2 linked regions of the Drosophila melanogaster genome follow. The protein of the gene in region 1 purifies or fractionates together with the protein of each later gene. This does not show direct contact. Each region holds a gene or a part of one and is shown on either strand. Other genes may lie near its edges. The genes, in order: PPO2 and yellow-f.

Region 1 (4,903 bases):
ATTCACAAACGTCTTGGCCTCCAGGTCAATGTTGGCTGCTGCAGTTGCGCACTAAAATAAATGACAATCAATTAAAAGCAGCAAATTCACTTACAATATTATTGCTATTACAGGCTTAGTTTAGTCTAGGTCTTCTAAGTATCCTCAAACTATATAGAAACTGACACGCATCTAAATGAAACATATTTCAAACACGCAAAATTATGATTTAAAGTTATCTAAAGACCACATCTTTTTGTGGGATCTTTGTGGACCCATAGATTATTTAATCGGTACAGTGCTTACGCCAATGCCCGCTATCAGCACCAGAAGCAGCAGCAGGCCCATCTCCTCGGGAATCGGTTTCACTTTCGCACTCAACACCGGATCTGCTCGAACTGAGGTGCTCCGGCCGTGGAGCTGGCATTTAAAGCTTCTCCCGGGCGGCTGATAAGCCTAATCAGCGAGAGATTCTCGCCCGGAGGCCGAGCCACAATAATTGAGAACAAAAGTGGGATTGTGGAATGCCATGATGTCTTGTTTATTAAGCGGCTCAATAAAGATGCAATAGATTGCTAAGAGTTGTATATCTAGAAGTGGGCGAGGTCATGGAATCGGGTCAGGGCGAATCGGGAAAGCGAATCAGGTGCGGATCGTCTAGTTTGGGCGCTGCACGGTGCGGTTCTCGTGGCGGATGTTCACGTCCACGATGCTCATGTTGGGCGTGAGGAAGTTAACCAGGCGGTCGACTCCGCTGCGGGGCAACCTGTCGAAGGGGAATCCCATGGACTGGCGATCCGGGTAAAGACGGTCACGGACGCCACAGTAGGAAGCGGCATCGCTGCACCGACCCACCAATTGCTGGTCAATCTGGAGGTGGAGATAATTGTCAAAAATATCCTTGATTTACTAGCCAGCTAACATACCCTGTCGTTCTCATAGTTCGACACCATGATGAACAGCACGCACTGCAGTCCCTCGGGCAGACCCTTTGGCACCAGCATGTGGTTGGGCCAGCCGCAGCCGCAGAAGTTGAACTCCAGCTCCTCCGGAGTGCCGGCCGCCGGACGATTGGCATCCAGGTTGCGGAAGGTGCGCTCGAACGGAATGGTCACGCTCGACTCCGTGGAGCGGCGGCGGATGGTGTTGGGTCCCGGGTTCAGCGAAGTCACGAACTTGTCCAGCTCGATCATCATGGAGCGCTGATCTCGCATCAGCATGGGCTGGCCACGCTCGTCGTTCTTCGGCGCCATGAAGATGCGCACGTAGCCGAAACGCTGGGCACCACTATCGTTGTTCAAACTGATGGTATAGGTGAAGGGCAGATGCTGCAGGTGGGTGAACCTGGCGAAGACATTACCTCGCGGCAGGAAGTCGAAGCCACGGGACATGTCCACGTCCGACTGCTGCCAGAAGGTGGTCAGATTATTGGGACGACCTCCATTGGTGTCCACCTGGATGCCCGCGATCGAGACGCCCGGGTAGTTTAGTTGGTTCTCGGTATAGGCGGGCAGGCGCGACTTGTGCTCCTGGAAGATGCGGTCGATGTACGAGTGCCACTTGTAGAAGACCGGGTCGCGCATGGCCGTGGACACATCACCCATCACGCCAAAGGACTCCAGGTGCTTGCTGGTCGGATCGTGGGCGTACGAGATGAAGGTGTGTCCGTTGTTGTGCAGGTCACCATACTAGGGGAGCAATAGGATTAATCCCTAGAATAATTTACTAAGGGTAAGGACTTATTACCAGCACTCGGTTGGGCGACAGAATGGATGATTCAATCATGTTGCCGAGGGTATCAATGCCCGTCGCCTCATCCAATGGCACCCGGTTGCCACGCTCCTGAAAGGGAATATGGCATGTTATTTAGTTAATGGAAAACCCACCAACAACTCACATCCATGACAAATCCTTGGTGAATGGCCTCGTAGATGCGATCACGCCAACGCTCCAGATCTCCAATCTCCACATTCAGCTGGTCGGACTCCCGGTTGAGATCGCTCAACCTGGTGCTCTCGAAGCGCGGTGGCCACGCGCGGCTGGCTACCAGAGAGTCCATCTTGGGGAAGTAGCCCTCGGCAATGGGATCCCTCAGGTTGTTGAAGGGCAGAACCCTGGCCAGGTTGTTGCTGAACCGCTCCGCATTGTAGCGGGCGATCACCTGCTGGTGCATGTAGTAGAAGAGCTCGCCACGACGATCCTTGGCCACTATGCTGCGGTCGGAGGCCTCGAAGGGGTAGACCAGATGCCAATGCCAGTGGTGAAGGTTGATGCCCAGATCCTCGCGGAAGTACCACAGCCGGTGCTCGGGATCCAGATCGGAGGCGGTGTAGTCCCTGGGAATGGTGATGGGCATCCGGGAACCGGGCTGCACCACAAAAGACTCCTCCCGCATCTTGCGGATCACCTGCGAGTCGATGAAGCGGTCGGGGAAAGTCTGCGAGAAGGATGGCAGATCCAGGCCCTGGGTGTCCGGACGATGGAGCAGCGCCACCGACAAGGCGTAGTTGAAGAGCACCGGGTTGACCCGATCCCTGGCGTACACCGCCACGCTCTGCAGGTCGTCCACGGAGCGCATGTTCATGAATATATCGATCAGGCGGCCGGCGATCCTGCGGTGCTTGGGCAGGAACAGCGAGAACTGCTCGTCCCGGCCCAGGGACATGGGGATCCGCAGATCGGGAATGGAGATCTCCCGGACTGGAACGCGCTGCTCCACCTTGTCGCCGACGCGGCTCTGCACCTCGTTGCTGATGGGTCGGTAGCGGTCGGTCAGGAAGGAGTCGGGCACATCGAACACGGTCACCCTCTTGCCCTTGTCCATGAACACTGGCTCGGTGGGATGGTCGAAAAGCAGGAGGAGATTCTTCTTGTCGGCCATTTTCAATGGGATGTCAGGGAGGACCTGCTGGATCGCGGAGCAAACTAAATGGGGAATGTGACTGGAAGTCTGGGAACTTCACGACTGTGACTATTCACCGAAAGAACTGCACATTTTATACAAAACTTCGAAGGCACTAGTATCGGTTTTGAAAACCACAAGAACGCCTGAGAATTGAAATTGTCGACAAATTGCGGCGATAAGGATATAGTATGGAAACCGCAGTGTTGTTTTAGCATATTTCTAAAATGCAGTTTTATTATTTCAAGAGTATTTCATTTGGTTTTGCTTTAGCTTATCTATACATATATACTATTGGAATGAAATCGGATTTTGTTATCTCTGGGATATGCCTGCGTTGTAAATCAAAACTTCTCTACGCACACGATCCTCCGGTCAGATAGCATCACATCTAAACAATTTAATATAATAGTATGTATATATATGTAGCTACATGCATAATACGGCAATAATAGTTATTACAATTCGGCTATAATCGATCAATTCGTCCCTAATTCCCTACTACTGCTTTGATATACAATACATATATTTATTTAGCATAGCGCTAAAAAGAGAGATACAACGAGATATTTGGCGAGTGAAGAGATGAGCAATATCGTACGACAAGCGGATCTACATATATATAGCGTGTATATACAGGAAGTCTGTGGAAATTGTATGCTGCTGTTTCCGTTTCCGTTCTCGTATTCGTTGTGTAAAAGCGATAGGTTCAGTTGGTTAGTTGTTTAGATCTTGTAAAATGTATCTCAGAAAAGCCCTGGGCATGTCCCGTGTTCCTTGGCCATGATATGTAGTGTTTAAGCTCTTAGAATATAGAGTTGTGGGGTCTTCAGCTTGGTTCCGATCTCTCAGCCCGAAGAGAAAGTAAGAGGTGATGGCTTTTGTGTGAGTGTAAAGACTTTAATCACATCCAAAAATGCATACACATGTATTTACATAATATCGTGCAGTATAAACCAAGAGTTGTACAAAAATATATCTATGTTTCTGTATATATAAATATTCGATCGTGTTCGGTGTACATATGCAATTCAAAACAGAATTCAGTGCCGTTAACAACTCAAAACTGTTGTTCAAATCGATGTGTTGATGGGGATATATTGTAGTTTGATTTTAGTTCGGTTCAAGCGCATTTTTATCTACCCTTGTATACATATACATACATATAAAACTGGGGAATACGATCCGGTAACGTCGGGGCATACATAGTTACAAATAGTTCTCGGTACATACATATAATACTTGTTCGATTTCGTTTTCGATTTTGATTCACTTCTCAACTTGGGGAGTCGGTTGTCTCTAAGGATTGCATGTGTATATTGGTGCCCAAATAGTTTCAGACTACGCTAAAGCTACGGATAACATCTAGTTCTAGTTCGGTTTAGTTTGCCTTTGCTCGTTTCTTTCGATTCAATTCAATTCAAATCGCTTGCTCAACTTGATGGCTTCAAAGTACAGAGTACGGAGTACACACACACTTATATATCGAGGAACTTTCACTACTTTCAACAATATCGACATCAACAACGGGGATCCAACGAAATGTACACTTTAAACGACTATCCGGTGCAAATATACATGGGTTACTCGATCGGAGAGAATGCCTGGCCTTTGTACTGAGGTTCGCCCGTATCACACATCCGCTATCCGCTATCCACTAATCCAATTCAACACTGTGCCTACTACTTACTTACGCAGATACTTTGAACGTCTGGGACTCAGGTACAAGTTTCTTTCGATGCGACGTGGTGCAGCTGTATTAACCGAAGGTCAAATCAGAAGTTTCAACCCAAAAACCCAAACCATAAAAATGCGATCCCAACCCGCGCGCCCCACATCGTGGGCTGACTTCCGTTCCGTTAACTTAGTTCGAGGAGGTGGTGTTCTGAAACTCCTGCCGGCAGTAACCCATCACAATGTCCGATCGGCAGTCGCCGCCCATTAGACCCGGCAGGAGCACCGCCGCCCCCAAGATGGTCACCAGGGCTCCGAAGACCACCAGGCCCAGAGCGGGCAGCTTCT
Region 2 (4,273 bases), on another chromosome or scaffold:
CCCAATTTTTGATTCTAAGTTTAATCTCAGGGTTACAGCTGCTTTCCTTGGCAGATGCTGATCCCATGATAGAGGTCTTCCGATGGAAGCAGATGGACTTTTACAATCGCGGAGATGGCCATCTAAGCTCGGGCGGAAGGAAAGACAGGCCCAGCTTTTCAGGTTAGTACTCATAATATGATATTACTAGTTCTCATTCAGCAATAGCAATCTCGCGAGCCTTGTTAGATAGATTTATTGGTATTTACTTATGTACTATTTTTTTATTGTTCAACTAGCTCCGGTTGTCTTTCCTGGAAAGTATTCTCGTCGAAAGCGTAAGATTATGACCTCCCGCGATACACCGGTAGTGGTCAGCTCCCGCGCCGACAGCGACGACCCCAACGCCTCCTACATTCCGTACAATAACGTGCCCATGGGAGCCACTCACTTCCGCGGCCGCCTCTTTGTCACGATGCCTCGTCGACGGGTGGGCATCCCATCCACCTTGAATTACATCGATCTGGCCGAGGACGGATCGAATCGCAGCCCCAAGCTGCGGGCCTATCCCAACTTTGCGCTTAATCAGTTCAACGCGAGTGCGGAGAATCTGGTGTCCGTCTACAGAACCTCCGTGGATGCATGCCAGCGTCTCTGGTTTATCGACACGGGAATGCTGGAGTATCCAAGTGAGTTGGCATGTATTGACATGTAATATAAAAGATCAGGATCGATCCGTATTAATCTAATTTGGTGACCAAGAATATAAAAAACTCAATCATGATTCTCATATCCAGATAACCGCCAACAGATCCGCCGTCCCAGCATTTGGGTAGTTGACTTGGCCACGGATCAGGTGCTGAAGCGCTTCGATGTTCCGGAGAGTATAGCTGAGACGGGTCGCGGATTGGCCAGCATCACCGTGGATGTGAAGGCGGGTCAGTGTGGCGATGCCTACGCCTATATTCCGGATCTGGTGTACCGGCGCCTGTACGTCTATCACCTGCGAAACGATAGAATCTGGTCCTTCGAGCACAACTACTTCAACTTCGATCCGCTGTCCGGGGATCTCAGCATTGGCGGCCAGACCTTCCGCTGGGACGATGGCATCTTCTCAATAACTTTGGGGGCCCAGAAACTGGATGGGAGCCGCGATGCCTACTTCCATCCCATGGCCAGTACGAATGAGTTTGTGGTCTCCAACCGGGTTCTGCAGCAGGAATCCAACGCCGCACGTTCCGATCATGGGAACGATTTCCGGGTACTCGGAAGCCGTGGTCCGTCCACCCAGTCTACGATGCACGCTTACGATCCTGGGACTGGGGTGATCTTCTTCGATGAGATCCAGCGCAACGGAGTGGGCTGCTGGAAGACCAGCAAGCCCATCTCGGCGGAAAACTATGGCTCTGTGGATTCCAATGCCGAGGATATGATTTATCCCAGCGACTTGTCGGTAAGCAAATGGTTTTGGATAAAAAAGTTGAAGAAAAAAAGTTATACATCTCATCTTACTATTGCAGATTGACGAGGATGGCACCATTTGGGTCATGTCCAACTCCATGCCCATCTTCATCTACTCCACACTGGACACGAGTATATACAATTTCCGGATTTGGAAGCAGAAGGCTTCACTGGCCAAGAGGGGCACAGTTTGTGAGTGATTCGTGTGGAATTCCTGTTGAATTTGTTACTTAATTAAAAATACATACATAAGTAAGAATGACGAAATTTTCGAATAAATAGTTAGCTTTACAAATATACTCTTCAGATTATCAACAAATCTTAAAAGTTGAATAAAGAGACATGGAAAATAAGAGCTTGGGAATCCCAGTGACTGCTCTTATCACTTTACATTCTGAGCTCATTTTTGAGTCGCAGAGCACGTTTAACTCAGTTGAACCCAAGCTGAGGAGTCAGTCAGTCACAAGTGGGTTTTCAGCCAGGAAAGGCGAACGACCGGAATTTTATAAAATGTTATCGCTGGACGTTCTGCTCCTGTGCGCAATCTCAGGGTTCCAATTGCTAATCTCTGCAGATGGAGATCCCATGATTGAGGTCTTCAAGTGGAAGCAGTTGGACTTTTACAATCGCGGCGATGGCTATAAGGATTTGTGGAACAGGATCTGCATTCCAGGTAACTCCAAAAATATCCAATTGAAATATGTTCAATTTCAAACATCAGCAAATGTCGGTGAATCACTAAGTTTTTCCACAAAACATTATGAAATGGTTGTAATATGAATATTATTTTAATCACCATTTTATCGTCACTTTTATAACGAATAATATGTATATATATCACAATTATTCGTTCGACAAAGATTCGCATTTCTACAACTCCCGCAAGTGCTTAGGCTCCTCATCCTCAGGATCCTTCATCCAATACAACAACGTGCCCCAAGGAGTAACCCACTTTCGAGGACGCCTCTTTGTCACCGTGCCACGGCGACAGCCGGGCATTCCGTCCACCTTAAACTACATCGATCTGGCCAAGGATGGGTGGAGTCAGAGTCCCCATCTACGGGCCTATCCCAACTTGGCGGTGAATCAGTATAATGCGAGCGAGCAGAACCTAGTGTCTGTCTATAGAACCTCAGTGGATGTCTGTGGGCGTCTCTGGTTCGTCGACACCGGAATGCTGGAGTTTCCCAGTGAGTATAATCATTTGCTTTATAGGCAAGGTGATCCAGGTTAAAATAATATTATATAACCATCAGATAATCGCCAGCAGATTCGACATCCTAGCATTTGGGTGATCGATTTGGCTAACGATCGCTTATTGAAACGATTTGAGATTCCGCAGAGCATAGTGGAGATCGGACGTGGACTAGCCAGCATCACAATCGATGTGGGCGCTCGGAGGTGCAACGATGCCTATGCCTACATTCCGGATTTGGTCAATCGCAGACTGCACGTCTATCACCTGCGAAGCGATAGAATTTGGTCCTTCGAGCACAGCTTCTTTAACTTTGATCCCCTTTCTGATAATCTCAACATTGGTGGGCAGACCTTCCGCTGGGACGACGGGATTTTCTCGGCGACCTTGGGATCATATAAGCCCGATGGCAGCAGGGATGTCTTCTTCCATCCTATGGCCAGCACGAATGAGTTTGTGGTTAGCAACAGGGTCTTGCAGCAGGAATTCAATGCAGCACGTTCTGATCATGGAGACGACTTCCATCTTCTGGGAACTCGTGGTCCGTCCACCCAGTCCACAATGCATAAATACGATCCGCGGACCGGGGTGATTTTCTTTGCCGAGGTCCAGAAGAGTGGAGTGGGCTGCTGGAAAACCAGCAAGCCGTTCTCAACGGAAAACCATGGCTCCGTTTATTCCAATTCATCGGAGATGATTTATCCCAGCGATTTGACCGTAAGCTCATCCCTTTCTATTTGTAACACGAAAACGAAGGTTAAGTGCGTTGTTGTTTTAGATCGACGAGGAGGGATACATTTGGGTGATGTCCAACTCCATGCCCATCTTTGTGTACTCCAAGCTGGATGTGGAGAAGTACAATTTCCGAATCTGGAGGCAGTCGACATTGCTGGCCAAGAGGGGAACAGTTTGTGAGTGATTTGCGTGGAATTGCTTTAATGAATTTTTCGCATAAGTAATATGTTTATCGAAATAACACACGGAAACTTATTAATAAAATAAATCAAAAAGCATTTACATATGTATCGTTTAAAATTGCCTAAATTTGAGTACTCATTTTTATCACATCTTATATGTTACGACAGATGCGTATGTCTTTTCGCACGAAACAAATGAAAACATGAAAGAAAACAACATCAATGAACAAAATCAGAGGCACTCCAATATTGCATAAGGATACTAAGTTGCACAGTTGTGTGTGTAAGGGTTACGCGTGTATATGTTAACCTAAAATACTTGAATTTCATGTTGTAAATTTCTCATAACTTTTCCGCATCTAAACAAATTCGAGGTGTAAATTTGGTAGCCCTTCAAAGTGTCAGCTATACATATGGTGTATATAGATCTATATATATATATATATATATATCTATTCAATTTGTATATATATGTACGAGTTTATATAAAGTTTTGCAAAAAATATATAGGTTGCTTTTGTATATGTTCCTCAACGCTACACCTAAGTCCTTTAAGTAGTTTCGATCATAGTTAATATATGTAGTGTGTAGTACGTAATATAGCGAAATGTTTCTACCAGTTCTAGTTGACTATATAGTGGCTGCGTTCATTGACCTTTTCGCGAAGATGGAATGATTACTGGCCCGGAGCTATTCGAAATTGCCTCGCGTATAGCAGCTT

The links.
Region 2: the proteins of PPO2 (region 1) and yellow-f purify together in Drosophila melanogaster (affinity purification with mass spectrometry, with the first as the bait; one large-scale study listed by BioGRID). This does not show direct contact.

Annotation. Positions count from the first base shown.
Region 1 is NT_033778.4:9,041,761-9,046,663, forward strand, and holds PPO2 (prophenoloxidase 2), read right to left. Parts: upstream 2,950-4,903; 5' UTR 2,861-2,949; coding exon 1,877-2,860; intron 1,822-1,876; coding exon 1,726-1,821; intron 1,668-1,725; coding exon 906-1,667; intron 850-905; coding exon 637-849; 3' UTR 501-636; downstream 1-500. Other genes in the region: Ance-4, read right to left, coding at 1-51, 286-327; CG13743 (uncharacterized protein), read right to left, coding at 4,746-4,903. UniProt on the Drosophila melanogaster protein: This is a copper-containing oxidase that functions in the formation of pigments such as melanins and other polyphenolic compounds.
Region 2 is NT_033777.3:12,990,823-12,995,095, reverse strand, and holds yellow-f (yellow-f), read left to right. Parts: upstream 1-1,894; 5' UTR 1,895-1,950; coding exon 1,951-2,113; intron 2,114-2,300; coding exon 2,301-2,630; intron 2,631-2,696; coding exon 2,697-3,352; intron 3,353-3,413; coding exon 3,414-3,554; 3' UTR 3,555-3,647; downstream 3,648-4,273. Other genes in the region: yellow-f2, read left to right, coding at 1-162, 279-668, 777-1,432, 1,500-1,640. UniProt on the Drosophila melanogaster protein: Tautomerization of L-dopachrome with decarboxylation to give 5,6-dihydroxyindole (DHI). Also catalyzes the tautomerization of the methyl ester of L-dopachrome and dopamine chrome. May play a role in melanization reactions during late pupal and adult stages.